2 linked regions of the Mytilus edulis genome follow. The protein of the gene in region 1 purifies or fractionates together with the protein of each later gene. This does not show direct contact. Links are inferred from orthologs where the notes say so. Each region holds a gene or a part of one and is shown in the gene's direction. Other genes may lie near its edges.

What was found. The genes of interacting proteins can lie anywhere in the genome.
Region 2: the proteins of E3 ubiquitin-protein ligase MYCBP2-like (region 1) and F-box/SPRY domain-containing protein 1-like purify together in Caenorhabditis elegans (affinity purification with western blotting; 3 studies listed by BioGRID). This does not show direct contact. The link is inferred for Mytilus edulis from reciprocal best matches to the Caenorhabditis elegans genes rpm-1 and fsn-1.

The regions. Positions count from the first base shown.
Region 1 is NC_092351.1:37,260,173-37,268,769, reverse strand, and holds the start of E3 ubiquitin-protein ligase MYCBP2-like, read left to right. Parts: upstream 1-5,161; 5' UTR 5,162-5,303; coding exon 5,304-5,425; intron 5,426-8,181; coding exon 8,182-8,248; intron 8,249-8,597. Other genes in the region: uncharacterized protein, read left to right, coding at 1,445-1,894.
Region 2 is NC_092346.1:53,776,035-53,784,997, forward strand, and holds the start of F-box/SPRY domain-containing protein 1-like, read left to right. Parts: upstream 1-5,112; 5' UTR 5,113-5,150; coding exon 5,151-5,726; intron 5,727-7,744; coding exon 7,745-7,820; intron 7,821-8,685; coding exon 8,686-8,795; 3' UTR 8,796-8,963. UniProt on the Caenorhabditis elegans protein: Component of a SCF (SKP1-CUL1-F-box protein) E3 ubiquitin ligase complex which is required for the restriction and/or maturation of synapses in GABAergic neuromuscular junction (NMJ) presynaptic neurons.

The DNA.
Region 1 (8,597 bases):
GGATCTCCCTTGACACCATTTGCGAGTATGGTCTCGAGTAAACGAGAAAAAGAAAAAGAGACAAAGATAGATATAAAAGACTACAACAAGAAGTTCAGTGGGAGGTCCGGCAAGCCAACAAGAAATATATGGAAGAGGTCAGTTCAGACTATAGAGATAATGCAAAGAAGTTCTGGTCTTATATCAAATGCAAAGGTCAAGAATGGACAGGAGTGGCACCGTTAAAAAACAAAATGGGATTTCTGCAAAGTGACAACAAGAGCAAAGCTGACATTTTAAACGACCAATTCCAGTCAGTATTTACCAAAGAAAACCTAAATAACTTTCCAGATAAAGGAAAAAGTCCATACTACACCATGAAGGACATAAAAATTAGTACCAACGGAGTCCACAAATTGTTAAAAAACCTGAAACCGCATAAAGCTACTGGTCCCGACTCAATACCAGCCTTTATACTGAAAACAGCAGCAGAACAACTTGCTCCGATACTCACAGACCTATACCAAACATCATTGAACACTGGTGAAGTCCCGCAAGATTGGAGAGATGCCTATGTAGTTCCACTTTTTAAAAAAGACGAAAGGCACCTAGCATCTAACTACAGACCAGTATCTCTAACTTCCATCACGTGTAAGGTCTTAGAACATATTGTACATAGCAACATCATGGACCACTTTGACAAAAATAAAATACTAACTGATGCACAACACGGATTCCGCAAAAGACGATCATGCGAATCCCAACTAATCGTAACCATCAACGACATTGCATCAAAATTAAAAAGCAGCGGCCAAGTAGACATCATCCTGCTAGACTTTGCAAACGCATTTGACAAGGTACCACATCACCGCCTCCTACACAAGCTGGAATACTATTGCGTCAACCCCAAAACCAATAAATGGATTCGCTCCTTCCTTACATAACAGAAAGCAGAGCGTGATATTAGAGGGTGGGTGCTGTCTCCTCACAAGTACCAGTACTCTCTGGTGTACCCCAAGGCACAGTCCTTGGTCCATTACTGTTCCTGGCCTACATAAACGACATGCCAGAAACAGCATCTACATCAGAGACCAAATTGTTCGCGGATGACAGCCTTCTCTTTCGTACCATCACCAACCAAGCTGACAGTGAACTACTTCAAAAGGACTTAACAGCATTGGAAGACTGGGAAAACAAATGGCAGATGAGTTTTAATGCCAAAAAATGCCTTGTCATCAGAATATCCCCAAAAAATAGACCAGTGATACAAACATCGTACCAGCTACACGGTCATACTCTAGACACAGAGGAAGCAAGTAAATATCTTGGAGTAACCATCAGCAACAACCTAACCTGGGATAAACACATAGACAATACAGTAGGCAAAGGAAACAGAACGTTGTGATTTATACGTAGAAACCTCAAAGGCTGTACAAAACATGTAAAGGCAGCTGCGTATGTATCCATGGTAAGACCTGCAGTGGAATACGCAAGCACAATATGGGACCCAACAACCCAAAATAAAATCAAGGCAATTGAACAGGTACAGAAAAGAGCTGCACGATTTGTGAATAACAACTACACAGACCGAACACCTGGCTGTGTCACAAATATGGTTAAAAATCTTAAATGGGAAAGTTTCGAAGAACGGAGGAAAACAAATAGATTATGCATGCTATTTAAGATCCAGCATGATCTTATAGATATAGACCGTCACCAATATTTGACACCGAATGATAACCGGACCAAAGGTAAAAACCGCTTTTTCCAAGAAAGAACAAGTACAGACACTTACGGCCAATCTTTCTTCCCGAGGACAATCAGGGACTGGAACAACCTACCAACAACAGTTACAGCGACCAACACCGTTGAGGGATTCAGAGCTGCCCTGAAGGCATGCTCTGAAAGGAAGTAGGAAAACCCAGTTGTAAATAATTTTAATTGTATATTTTTGCGAACGTTTTAAATGTATTTGTAAATAGCCAAGAGAAAGCTTTCTGTGTTGCCCGACACTGCGTAAAGTTTTCGCTCGGAACCATGAACATTCAGTATTGAATCCGGTTCCTTACCTGGAAGAAGAAGAAGAAACGATGATAGTCCGTCGGAAGGGGACGATAAATGGCTGACCCGTGTTAAGAGAGAGCCATATCTCTTTCACATTAAAGACACCCTTGTAGATTTCGAAAAAGAGCAGGCTAATGCCGCTACAAGGCAGCACTCGCACCCGCAAAGTGGAAAGGGATTAATATAAGTTGCAAAACTTGTTTCCCAATCCTGTATAAATAAATATGTTTAAACTAAACTAAACTAAAGCATTACGAGTCGATGGTTACTTCGTCTGTTAGCTAGTGGTTCCCATCCTAGTTTCTTGACCATAGTTGTCACACATCCAGGTGTTTTATCGGTGTAGTTGTTTGTTACAAACCTGGCGGCCATCCTTTGCACTTGTTCTAAGCGGTTTATGTCCTCGGTGGTATGAGAGTCCCATGCCGCACTTGCATATTCTAGTGTTGGTCTGACCAGAGAGATATAGGCTGCATTTCGTATATTCTTGCTGCATTCTCGACGGTTGCGCCTAAGGAATCCGAGGGATTTGGATGCTTTTTTGGCAGTGACGTCAACATGATGTTTCCATTGTAGGTCCTCACTGAAATTTACTCCTAGATATTTGCTGGTTGGTACAGTTTCGAGAGTGTGGTCATATAATTTATAGTATGTCTCTTTTGGGGATTTACTGTTGGTGCTAATGCGGATGAAGGTGAGTTTTTCTGGGTGGAATTTCATCTGCCATTTGGTTTCCCAGTCTTCTAGTGCTGAAAGATCCTGTTTTAGTTTGGCTTCGTACTGGGAATTTGTTAATAACTACTAAGAAGAGTAAGGAACCTAACACAGTCCCTTGTGGGACACCTGAAAGTACGTCTCCCAGTGTTTACTTACAGCCCTCAACTACCACTTGTTTTTTCCTGTTTTCTTAGAAAGAATATTGTATCCATTTCAGGTTTTCGTCTCTAATGCCATAGTGGTTCAGTTTGTTGAGTAATCTGCAGTGTGGGACTTTGTCAAAAGCATTAGCAAATATAAAAAAGAAAATGTGGTATAATTGCCAATGAGACAACTGTCCGCCACAAGAGACCAAAATGACACAGACATTAACAACTATAGGTCACCGTACGGCCTTCAACAATGAGCAAAGCTCATATCGCATAGTCAGCTATAAAAGGCCCCGATAAGACAATTAAATGTAAAATAATTCAAACGAGAAAACTAACGGCCTTAATTATTTATATATAAAAAAAAAAGCAGACGAAAAACAAATATGTAACACATAAACAAACGACAACCACTGAATTACAGGCTCCTGACTTGGGATAGGCACATACATAAATAATGTGGCGGGGTTAAACATGTTAGCGGGATCCCAACCCTCTCCCTAACCTGGGACAGTGGTATAACAGTACAACATAAAAACGAACTATAAAAATCAGTTGAAAAAGGCTTAACTCATCAGATGGACAAAAATACAAGTGGACGTGGCCGGATCGAGTAAGATTACATCCACTTGATCTTTCCCTGATTTCAGTTGTTTGGCAATTCCTTCTATTGTTGAAATTAGTTGTGTCTCACAGGATCTATACGAGCTTTGAATCCAGGCTGACTGTCTGTCAAGATGTGATGTTTTTCCAAAAATGTGATGACTGAACTGTGGATGATATGTTCGAGAACTTTGCATGAAATAGAAAATAGCGAAACTGGTCGATAATTTACTGCTATATGATTTTCTCTTTTTTTTTAATAGTTGGACTAACTAGTGTTTCTTCTGTCAAGCCGTTTGGTATTTCACCGTTGTCAATGGTGGTTTGGTAAAGACGGGAAAGGATGGGAGCCATCTCATTTGCTGCATTTTTAAGTATTAGTGCTGAAATGTTTCCTGGTCATGTTGCTTTGTGTTGTATAAGGTTCTTTAACAGCTTGTATACTCCATTTTTGTTTAGCGGTTGATTTTACCCATGGTGGGATAACGGCTTGGGCCTTTGTTTGGTATACTAGTCATGTCTTCTTTAGTATAGACCGATTGAAATTGGTCGTTTAAAGTTTCAGCCTTTTGAGAGCTTTCACTATGTAAAAAATCCGTCTTTGTTGGTAAGGCAGAAACACCTGATGACTCTTGTTTCTTACTTTTTACATATGTGTAGAAGCGCTTAGGATTTTCTCTGAAGTCATTGCTGACAACATCTTGGGTGTAGTTTCTATGAGCTTTTCTTGTCTCCTTTTGGGTGTTTGCTTTTAGTCTTTTGTACTTTTTCCAGTCGATTGGGTTATTAGCACGTTTAGCTTTGGAGTGAGCTCTTTGTTTTCTTCTCATTGCTCTTCTTATCTGGGTGTTTCTACCCATGGATGTGTGTGTCTGTTCGTTGTTTGTTTTGTTGGTACATGATTTTCGATAAGATGTTACAGGATAGGATTGTTTTAATTGTCTTCCAAATGGCCTCCACTGTCTGGTCCTTGATTGACAGAATTGTTCACCAAAGTTCTTAAGAGAAATTTTAATTGCTTTCATGTTAGCTTTTTTCCAAAAGAAAATCTTTCCTCGTATTGGCTTTACTTGATTTGGTTGTATATTTGTGTCGTACAGTACTATATCATACATACATCCTGTACATAAAATTCAAGTTGTTTATTTTAAAATACCCAAAACATGTTGTTGAGGTGTGACTGTGTTTGACTTCGAATCTTACTGCATGATTGGCGGAGCTCCTAAAACAGGCGGAAAGTACAGAATAGGTAATAAGTAAACAGTGGTGTTGGTCAAATAGGTGACTCTTGAAAAATAGTTATCGAGGATAAAAAAACCCATAACTGTTGATTATAATTATGTACAAATATATTCTATAAACAGTGAAAAAAGACGATTTATAAGGGTTTTTTTCTAGTCGGAACGAGTTCTTGTATTCTCCGGCATAGTTCTATTTTTAATAGCATTTATACAATTTCCCTAAAAAACGAATTTATAGATGACCAAAAAACAATATTTTTGGGGGTATAAAATTTTAAAATCTGCTTAACAAATGAATAAAAATAAATAAAAAATTGAATTTATGTATATTTAAATTAGTTACCGACAAGATATAACAAGTTTTAGGAATACAGTATTTTATTCGTTTATTCTTGCTGCTACAAGATTATTGTGCAATTTGTCTTCACCAAATTAAACCAAATGGAAAATGAAAATGGAAGAAAATCGAAAGTTGATTTTTAAAAGCTTTTTCGAATTACAACTGTTGCTTAATCCTCAAACTCGTCAGTAGCAGCGAACTACAGAAAAGATGAGTGCGAAGGTGTTGCCTTCGTCTAGGAGCGAATTGGACATTTACCTGAAGGGAAATGAATTGAGGACGAAATTTCATGACTTGTTTGATGCATATCACATTTCTCAGGCTGACAATAAGTAAATAACTCAATTGATTAAAAAATGGGTTTAACGCAGGTTAAAGAATGATCTGTTTGTATCTGGTGTTTGTTGAATCTTGATCTTTTATTTTGCTTTAATATGAGGCAGGCATTACCTGTAAATGGGGACGAAGTCTATATGAATTATTTTTTTGTAACTTAAATATTTGTTTAAAAAAAGAAACGAAAATACCGTAACGTTTCCGATTTTGGTTCTGTTGTAAGGGATTTTAGTTGTGACGTTATTTAAATTATGACGTCATGTGCAATGTAAACGCTATCATCAGGTAACGTTTTTTCATATCAAAGAATTATTATAAATGAAATTGGTATTGCACGTTCCTTCCTATTTTATACTAGACTGATAAATATATATTTTACTCAAAGTTTCATACAAACGAGACCGGAAAAAGGAAGTACATTGTACATTTCTGTACAGGTCCGGGATTTCAAAACATGACAAAAAAAAATTGAACAATTTTGAGTTCATTACTACAATGAGAAATTTTCCCGAATTTTTTTTTTATTGAATTTTCTACTGTTATTGGGGACTTCGTCCCCATAATATCCTCACAGGGCTTTCCATTGAAACTGAAGTAGAAGGCTCAATTAAAATTATAGGCGGCTGTAACATGCGTTCTGCGCAGCATTGCCCACCTACAGCTTGGTGCCTTACGGCAGGGGGGTCTGGGGGCCGCTCAAGGCCCCAGAAGCTCTGGCATAAATAGAGCAAAATCCTGCATTCTCGCAATCTCCTGGCACCTAATTTCATCTTTCAAATGACCATTTTTTATGTATGAAATTAAAGAAGGAAAAAAAAATCTCAAAGAAATTTCATTTATTTTTATGTTATAGTTTTTTATTTTCATTACCTTATGCTTAAAATTCATTTACTTTTAAAGGAGATTTATTTATATAATAATACGGTTTGTTAAAAATCTTGATCGATTTATTTTGCAGAACTACGTGCATTTGTAAACAAATGACCCCCCTTTCTCTCTAAAGACTGTTACGCGTAACTAAATCATACAATTATTTCTCAAGCATTGACAGAAAATTGATATATCCTCTGATTTTCTCTTTTTTTGTAAACTGTTCAATAAGTCGGATACATAAATCATTTGAAAATGTTATTTATTTGAGGTCGAGGCCACAATATTCTACTTTCGTTTTTGACCTTGATTCTCTGAACACCACGTGGACTTTGAAAAATGAATTTCAAAAGATACTGTTTTCCAGATTCTGAACAATATGATCTACTACACTTTCTTTAATTTGACTGATATTATTCCATAACATAAGATTGTCATCCTATTTGATTGTCTTCATGTTTTTAAAGTAAAAAAAAGCAAACGAGTTAATGACCATCGGAACGTCTCTATTGTTATCCTTCAATGACCACCGGAACGTCTCTCTTGTTATCTTTGAAAAGAAACGATGCATTCTGACTTTAAATAGACAACCAATCAGTGACCTGAATTCATGTGAACTATATTTAGCCCAAGGTAAACACTGACTTTTCATCCTTGTTTATCGTGACCGCGACTTTGCGGAAATACGTCTCTCGGCTGCCTGTAAACATTTGAAAAAGATTTTTTTTTTCTTTTTGAATTTATATTTTTGTCAGTGAAGAAGCCGGCACTTGAAGCCACTGTAAACGGCGGATTTCCGCCTGCTACCGGCTTCAATGGAAAGCCCTGTCCTCGTACTTTTTATGACCCATCCGTATCAGAGGGCCATCAAGTTTTACCCTCGTCTGTCTGTACTCTGTACTTGTGTCCCAAAATTGGTTTCCGTTTCTAACTAAAGTTCACATCAACAAAATGTTATGAAATTTATACACAATGGTAAAAGCTGATTACCACAAAACATTGATCACGTTTGAATTTGGGTAACATCACTTTTACCATGAGACATGATTCTAGCATGTCTAGAGTTCAGTTCTGGAAATCTCTGAATTCGGTAACATTAACAAAATTGGTAACAGTTTCCAAATTAATTAACTGAACCTTTAACAAAGTTGTTAACTTCAGTGTTTATTTGGTTTTTGGCATTTATAAATAAAAAATGGCATGCTGGGAACAATTTCAGACGGAACTATGGACAAATTTCTAGAGTTCTGCCTGATAAAATTAAAATCTATGCAGGGGTTGATGAAAACGCAAATGATCCAAAATCCATATAATTTTTATATGTATCTTTTAAAGCAAAAATGAAATAAACACAGAAGTTAAAGAATTTGTTGATAATTTAGTTAATATAGTTGGTAACTGTTACAAAATTCGTTAACGTTACAAAATTCATAGATTTCTAGAACTGGGTTATGCCCATTTACAAATGAAAAAAGAGCTAAATTGTTTTTGTACCCATTCTCTTACTCGGATTTGCCTCAAGTATATGTTATAATCATATACATGTACACACTTGATCTTAACTCAAAACACAGATTAAGTACAAAATTGGGAAGCGTCACTTTTACCATTATTGAATTATGTCTCGTTATAATCTTATATGCAAGCGGGGGCATCTTTTGTGTCCCATGGACACATTTTTAATTTGTTGGTTATAAGATACAAATTTACAGCAATTTTTTTGCTTCTAAAGGATTGTGATAGCTTTTTGGAAATTTGTCCCAAGTGAATCTGTCCTGCTTGAACTGCATATATTATATATTGAAACTAACAATACAAGCAATACAATAAAATCTTATTTACTAATAATCTTCTCATTTACTTTCAATAATTTTTTTATCAGAAAGAAACAAGAAAAGAAGAAGGCAAAGAAGAGATCAAAATCAAAATCTAAAGAAAAAAAATCTAAGGTAAGTTTCTCAGATAGAACCACTAACTACTGTTCTCCAGTGGCAGGTTTACATTACTGTACCAGGTTTTCGGAAGGGTTGAGTGCTCATATACATGTTTAATCCAACCACATTCCTCCTTGTATAGTGTAAGTACGTGTATATTGCTCAAACAGATGATTTTATTTTTGGTGTAGCTAATACCAAAAATGCAATCTGGAGAGATTATTTGCTTGAATGTAACATTGGGACAAATTAATTATGGTGCAAATGAAACACAAATCCAATTGAGCAAAGTTTGCAAGTCTTCATCAATTACACTTCAGTACAACTATTTCCTCAAACTGTCACAGTTATTGTAGCTTAACAG
Region 2 (8,963 bases), on another chromosome or scaffold:
AACAACAGAACCAAAATCGGAAACGTTACGGTATTTCCGTTTCTTTTCTTTTAACATATATTAAGTTACAAAAAAATAATAATATACAGACTTCGTCGCCATTTACAGGTAATGCCTGCCTCATATAACCAGTATTATTGTGACCGATAAACCTGTGTGCCCTCAGTGATGTCGTTAGAAGCCGGCAGCCGGCGATTTTCGCCGGTTATTGTCCTTTTCCCGCCGGCTATTTTTGCATGAGTAAAAAAAATTAATAAGATAAAAAAGATAATCAGGTTAATATTAAAAAATAATTGTTCAATGCATCAGCTTCCACGATTAAAGTCGCGATAAACAAGGATGTAAATCAGTGTTTACCTTTGACTAAATATAGTTCACGTAAATGCAGTCCGCTGATTGGTCGTCTATTTAAAGTCGGTAAGTATTGTAATGTTTGCAAGGATAAAAAGAGAGACGTTCCGATGGACATTATGACCCTGTTTGGTTTTTGCTTCAAGAGAAGGAATAAGCCAAAGATGACAATATAGCATGTTATGGAAATTAATATATCAGTCAAATAAAAGAAAGTATAATATATATAATGTTGTCAAGAATCTGGAAAACAGCACCTTTTGAAGTTCACATTTCAAAGCCCACGACCACGTGGTGTCTAGAGAATGAAGGTCAATAACGAAAGTAGAATATTGTCGACCACAAATAATTTTTAAAAATATCTTTTATAGTTCAAAAGGATTTTAGTTTACTGATTACTGAACAGTTAACAAATAAGAGAAAATAAAACGACATAGCTTGACAACATGTTTGAAATACGTGTACAAGTCTTATATGAGAAAAAAGGGGGTCATTTGTCACTAAGTACGTACGCAAATAAATCGATCAAGATATTTAATAAATTCGATTATTTTTGAAATAAAATTATAATATTTCACCTATTATTTCACAGGCACTTGCCTGTGTAAAGTGCCTGTGTATTATTTACATATATTCAAGAACAGACTTCCTTAGTTGTCTTACAAAAGACACCTTCCCAGAAAAAAATATAATATAGATTAGCCTTGCCAGGACTACGGATTCTCATTTAAAAAAAAAATCAATGTGATTGAAGTCAACAACAAAAATAAGACAAAATTAACATTTTCCCAAGCATCTAAATCACTCTCAGGTACAAAATGTATGCTCAGAATGCAGGAATTTTAGTCTAAATTTTCAAATCTTTTTGGGGATAGCCAAGGACGTATATTATGTTAGTTGGGTATACATTTACAATTAATTCTCCATAGGCCGTAATGGTAACGTTTTCCTCCGTTGCTCAGTCCATATCGTTTACTTGAACATGTATGATGGCTCATATCGAAGCTGATACATTTATACATGTATGGTTAAATTTTCGGGGTGGCAAGTGAGATTACTTTTTTCGCAAATTGATGGACCCCGGAAGATGGTGAAAAATGTCACTCTCCTCATGAAATAATCCCAAAATTCTGATCATAAAATTCAATAAAAAAATTGTCCTTTCTAATAATTTATTTCAGGTCAAATCTACATCTTTCTTTTCTCATCACACCAGCTCTATAAAACAGTTCTTATTGTTCATTTATGTCCATTTTTAAAATCACAGCATCCACAATTGTATGGCGGACTAATATTTTTTTTAATTACGTCATCTGAGTTCCTCATCTCAAGGTCTATTAGGGATCCTGACCCATATTGAAATTCATACTTCTGATTTTTCCAAATATTTTTATGTGATCTTCATCGGTATAACATTCTGAATAAATCTGTGTATTTTTGTCCATTTCTGAAAAAAAATAAAGTTGTTTTAGCACTATACGGCAATGACACTTTCGTCGCTATATTCATTTATTTTGAATACAATGTGTTTGTATAATTAATTTCTTCCAGAATACCTTCACTAGTCAAAACAAGGACAAAACTTCTGATTATAACCTTTAATTACAATACACAGACCCTGTTAAAGCATTCTATAAAATTTTCTTGTGCCTTAAAGTGCATTTTGACAGAGAAATTATGCAAAAATGAAGATTTTATAAAAAAAACCAACACCAAAATAATTATTCTTACTAGTGGAAATCTGGTATTTAAAACTGTGGAAAGCACTCTTAACTACTTGGAAAGTCATCCTTATCATATAATTAGAGTGCAATATAGTGCAAATTTTCAAAACTTGTCCTTTCACATAATTCTATTTGAGAAAAAATGTTTTTAACATGTATTTCAGTGAAAACCTTTTATTAGTGAGAAATCCACATGAGGTTTTAAAGGAAACATTGTGACATCACATGTATTATGGCGTCATTAAATAACGACAGATTAAAATAGAACTAAATATAGTTTGCAGTGTTACGTGAGAAACAGTTGCCGCAAGATTTAACTCGAAATATTGAGTCGAAACGATCTGTAACTAAGCCTTTTCATTTAATACCAAGACCATAGCAACAGTTTTCATATTTGCATATTTTTAACATACCGACTGTAATTTCAATTGCATAAATACCATAAATAAACAATTTAGAGCTTGCCTAATAAAGCAAATGCTTACCAGTTATTCAGGACTTTTTAAAACCTCTAGTTTGCCATCTCAGGTTAAAAAGTAATGATATGTCTGGAACTGAAATAAGACAAAAAAATTACTCAGGCTGTGTTATCATTTGATTTAAATACATAAGTACTATTGAGAGAGAAAAATCTAATTCTTGAAAGTTTAATCACAAAGAAAGACAAATGCTTCTCCCTTGTGGCTTAGTCACCTTCATCTAAACCTTTTATTTTAGAAGCAATGGGTAGTAGCTAACTAGCTTAATAGTTGAATAGGTGCAGAAATATTGTTTTCAAAAAGGTTTGACCCTCCCCCTTTTTCACTGAGAAATGACAATATCTATTGTTTTGCTCAAGTGCATTAAAAATATTTACATGTACATGTTTTTTCTGTTTTTTTGCATATGATATCTACTGACCAGGGGTCAAATCATTGGATAAAAGCACATGCGATGATGTATCTCACTTTACTCGTATGAAGTGTGTTATCTCCCTTGATTATCAGGTATTCCTGTAGACCGAAGTGATAATTACATAACAAAGACTATATTGGGTCATGTTTACTTACAATTTAATAATATTTAAAAGTTGTTTCTTGCCTTTTTCAATATAGTAAACAAATTCCTTTCGGATCTCTCGGAAGTAAACAAAGTTATGATTGTGCCTAAAAAAAGTGTTCAGCCCCGTGCCAGTAATGCATTTTAAAAGCAAAGTTTCATTGAGTTTTTGCTGATCTTTATCAATAATATTTATCTTAAACCATTTATAATAACTAGGTATAAATAAAAAACTACTAACCATCATTTTCGGTGGTGTACAAGGTGAAATCATCCATAAATCAGCCTGAAAACTTCTGGAATTAAGCTTCTAATTTGGGTATACATTTACAATTAATTCTCCATAGGCCGTAATGGTAACGTTTTCCTCCGTTGCTCAGTCCATATCGTTTACTTGAACATGTATGATGGCTCATATCGAAGCTGATACATTTATACATGTATGGTTAAATTTTCGGGGTGGCAAGTGAGATTACTTTTTTCGCAAATTGATGGACCCCGGAAGATGGTGAAAAATGTCACTCTCCTCATGAAATAATCCCAAAATTCTGATCATAAAATTCAATAAAAAAATTGTCCTTTCTAATAATTTATTTCAGGTCAAATCTACATCTTTCTTTTCTCATCACACCAGCTCTATAAAACAGTTCTTATTGTTCATTTATGTCCATTTTTAAAATCACAGCATCCACAATTGTATGGCGGACTAATATTTTTTTTAATTACGTCATCTGAGTTCCTCATCTCAAGGTCTATTAGGGATCCTGACCCAGTTATACGTCCTTGGGATAGCATACGATTTTATAAAATATAGCACCTCTGTAACAGTTTTAACTTTGAAATCGAAGCTCCAGCTGACTACTAGTCAGTGAATATTGTTTTTTAATTTTGTAAAAACAAAACCAACACTTTTTTAATATAAAATTAAAACAATGTTCTCAATGTCACAATTACAATTTTCATTTAAAACTAAATTATTCAAGTGACAATTCAAACCAGAGACAATATGTTTCTATTCAAACTAAGATTTTTGGATTCTTTCAGTTCAAAAATATTTACTAGCAGTCAACCTGCAGGAAAATGCACAAAAATGTATATTGGTCCATCAAGATGATCAATGATGTGATCACGTCATGTACAGAAAATTTTCCCATCATGTTGCTAATTTTAGTTAATCATTTACATTATCTTCAGTAAAAAATAATGTTTTCAGAGGTCTGAATAAGGGTCTAGGACACCCCCAGAATGCAGGATTTTGCACCATTTTAAAAAAAAATCCTGGGGCCCTTAAGCGGGCCCCAGACCCCCCGCCGTAGTAGCGACGAGCAAGCTCGTCGACGCGAATTGGCTTCGCCGTCCGCATGTACTTGCCGCCTATTTTAGGAATTCAGCCTGCTTCTTCAAAACTTAGTGACATCACTGGCCCTTGGAAATATTGATTTCATTCAATAATCAATTAATTGTTATGATGTCAAAATTTAACAGGAATATCTGAGATATCCAGTCCTTTTGGTGGATAGGGATATTATAAGTTGTATAAATAGAAAAACTTTTAAAACCTTTTTTTTTAGCAAAATATCTTATTTATCTATGAAAAAGTATGATAATTCGTTTAACAGTGTCTCATGAGCCCTTCATTTAGGGAACTATGACATTTATGTTAAGTTGTGGCATTTTTGTCTACCTTTTCTTCAGTATCGAATATATTTCTTGGTTTTTAAACATATTTTTAACTTTTTCTCTTCATAACATGGGCGCAGACATCTTGAATCTCGTTGAATGAATTTACACGTGATTGCTAAAATTTTATCAGAAACCTAAAAGTTAAAAATAAGAATGCAACGTACAAATGAATGTGTCCTTACGTAGCTATACAAGTTGCTACTATTTCCAAATATCAAAATTATTAATAATTGTAACCTACAAAGATATCAGATCCTTATTCTATCGTCGGTATTCTAATAAACAGAATACCAATTTGTCCATTTTATTGTATCTCACATTTTGGTAGCTATATTGACCGGATGTCTCGCCGTTATGGCTGCAGCAGCCAACCTTCCTCCTCAGATTTTAGAATCAATTTTCTCCTATTTAAATATATCTGATTTAAGAACATGTTCCTTAGTGTGTAAGAAATGGTATAAGTTTTTGAACGATGAAAATAATGATGTATGGCGGTTTCACTGCATACGAAAAGTGACAGAACAAGTTCTAAAGTCTGACATTTTGAAAAACGTTCCAACATATAAAGCGAAACTGCGAGCATTTTTCCATAATTGGAATTTAAATGATTGTTCAAAAAACATTGTAGTGAAATCTGGCGGATTTACAGTTCACAGAAATCCAGTAGCTCAAAGTACGGACGGAGCTAGAGGGAAAATAGGTTTTAAGACAGGTCGACATTGTTGGGAAGTGTGGTGGGAAGGACCTTTAGGGACAGTAGCTGTGATTGGATTAGCAACTAAAAAAGCTTCATTACATAATATAGGATATGTCAGTTTATTAGGAGGAGACGATCAGAGCTGGGGATGGAATTTAGTTGACAATCACCTGATACACAATGGCGATAGTCAAGGCAATTATCCTACATTAAATAATGCTCCAACCTATCAGGTGTGATATTAATTAGCAATAGCATTTACCTACTGGGCTACTATATATGTATACACAAGCAACACATTCCATTATGCGTCAGAATTTCAGCCAGTTAAAAAAAATTATCTTTTGTTTAAAGATATTTAACATGTAAAGAGCATCTCAACATCAGCTGTACATATAGATGACAAGACAATAGACACTGTTTTATAAGCACAAACACTGTTTAATCTATTTTTCGGGGCAAGAAATAGTATGGCATTGTATAGAAATACATAAATACTGCAACACATTTCAGTAAAAATGGTAAAAATGTAGAAAAATGGAAAAAAGAATATCAAACTCACAAATACAAATTGAAAATAAACTGACAATGTCAGTACTTCTTACTTGATTTTTATAAAACGAATAACATGAAACTTTGTATTTTAAGGGTATAAATGAGTTAATTTTTATTTGTTTCATTTTTATGTCTTAGTAACATGCCTAAAAGCATGAAAAGCAGATCTAAACTACCACCCCACCCCTAAAAAAATAATGTCAAGACAAAACCAATAGTAATTTTCGAAATATACATGTATGTATGTACAAATCTACGATAAACATACATGCCATTCAGGGTGTGCAATTACTATCACTGGTAATTAGTTAAAAATTAATCATCTGCAAAATGTACAAATGTATATGATACAGTTAATAGAGTGGATTTAAACCTAGTATCCATAGATGAGTTAAATATATAGATGGTAAGAAGCATACATTTGTCATGTTTGTACATGTACACTCACTGTAAAGAAAAATAAGATGCATGTATTTGAACAACAGTATAAAATAACAAAAAAAATCTGAAGCAAATAACAAACAAACAAATAATTTATTAGAGTCTCACTTCTTTGAAACATTTGATATAAAACACAATATATTATTATCACTATCAGATCAATTTATAAAAGAGCCACTCTAAAAAGAGTTATGAGATACTGTAAAAACACACATTAAAATACATTTATATTAAATCTACATGTATAACATTTATCAATACATGCAATATATCTTGGCATGAAACACCACGTGATACTATTGAAAACAATTTATTTATACAAAAAAATAAACAACATTATATACACTTACATGTATTACAAATATAAAGTACACTTTCTCTTAAAAGGTACTTCATGGCAGATTTTGACTAAAATAACAAACTCTGTCATCATGAAACATAAAAAAAAATTTCCTCATTACTCAAATTATTAAAACTACTTTTTATATTACATACACAGATGAAAATATGCACATTCTGGCCCATGAGCATTCTAATAAATATTAGACATGTACTGTTGGATAGGAATAGTGTACTAAATTTTAGTCTGTGTATGATTTTCAAAAATGGGAAATGCGAAATTGACATCAAGATAAAAAAGAAAATGTTCATGGATTTGCAAAAAGGCACTCAACAAAAGTTGTTTTAGTCAACAACTGAAAGACAGGATATACTAAAATTGTGGATTTTTTTTATCCCAGGCCACATGTATAACATATAAACTAAAAAGGTTTAAATTGCCAAAAAAATATGAAGGATGAACTCATTACTTTTATGCCATAACTATTCCTTATTTTGAACGTTTAGCATAAAAATGTAATATGATTGCCAATGACACAAAACTTCACAAGAGACCAAATGACACTTATATTAACAACCATGGGTCACTGTATGGTCTTTAACAATAAGCATGTAAACAATGATGATATTTTTTAGGACAATTTGAAGAAATGTGGCCACAATGTCATGAATGTAATAATGTAAATTTTAACAAAATTGCATTTAAAAAATGGGATATTTGATACAGTGTCTAATTAATTTACCTAGACATGCTAGAAAAAGGCAGTACCTTCATACATTTTTTAACCAAAGATATAAATATTGTTACTATAGATGGATACATATTTATATGTACTTTTCAGAGTTTGACTGAACTTGCTATAAATTCAAGTTTGTTTTTATTAAATTGTTTTATTTAAATATTTGTTTATTTTAGGTTGGAGAAAGAATAAGAGTAATACTTGATTGTGAAGATAATACATTAGCGTTTGAAAAGAATTATGAATTTTTAGGTAATTTTTAGTTTATCATCGCTTGCTTAATCAATCTAATTTTAAACATAACTTTAACAATGCAAGCGCATTAAGTTCACTCTAGGATGTTGGGGTATATTGTATATTGCTATATACATCATGTACATTTGTCTTCCCCAATACATTTTTAAGCGTTTATCAGAAACTACAAATCAGAGCTTCCTCACATTGAGCATCATGGGAGCATGTTATACTCAGTATTGTGTCTTAACCTAAATAGCAAGTACCTATAGTGCCACTGTGGTAGTGTAGTAAGTCAGCGCTTCATCTTGTTAATTATCTTAATGTGTTGCTAACTAAAGCTACAAGCTGTAAAACCTGTAAGAGATGGTAAATGTCATGATTAAGAATGGACACATTTTGTAACATTCATATACATGAAAAACTGAAATGCTTAACCTTCAACATGTTTTCCAAGAAATAGACACATTCATGGCTTGATTTCAATGTTTCATTAATTTAGAGAACCCTAATAAGTAAAAAGTATTGATAGTTGCATTTGACATTAACAGTCAATTACTTTAAACCGATGGGAGGAGTAGGGGATGTATTTAAGAATTCTTCTTATGGCTTCTTTAGTTGAAATGAGAATGCATCTGACCGCTGGAAGAAATGTGTACGAGTTATTTGGTGTTTGGTATTTATTGTAAAGTGTCACCTACAAAAACAACAGATTTTTTTTAAGGAAATATGAATTCATACTAGAAACTGTGCCTTTATTGTTTTAAAAACAAAACAACCTAACTTTTTTATTCAAATCCCACCCATATCTTTACTTTTTAAATAGTAAATTATTATACATGTGTTTATAATGTTACATTGTATCAACTGATTTTTTTTCCAGGTGTAGCTTTCCGTGGACTGCCTGACACACCATTATACCCCTCAGTATCTGCAGTTTATGGAAATACAGAAATTTCTATGGTTTACTTAGGACCACCCTTAGACGGATGATTTTATGTGTCATTTTATAGGCTTTATATAAATTTGTTAATTGATATCTATATGGTTGTACTGTTGAAATATTCCATCCAGAATACATGTGAATTCAAAAACCCACATAAGTTGCACAGTCTAATCTTTTCGTAAAATATTGGCAAATTGAAAAATGATTAGATTTTC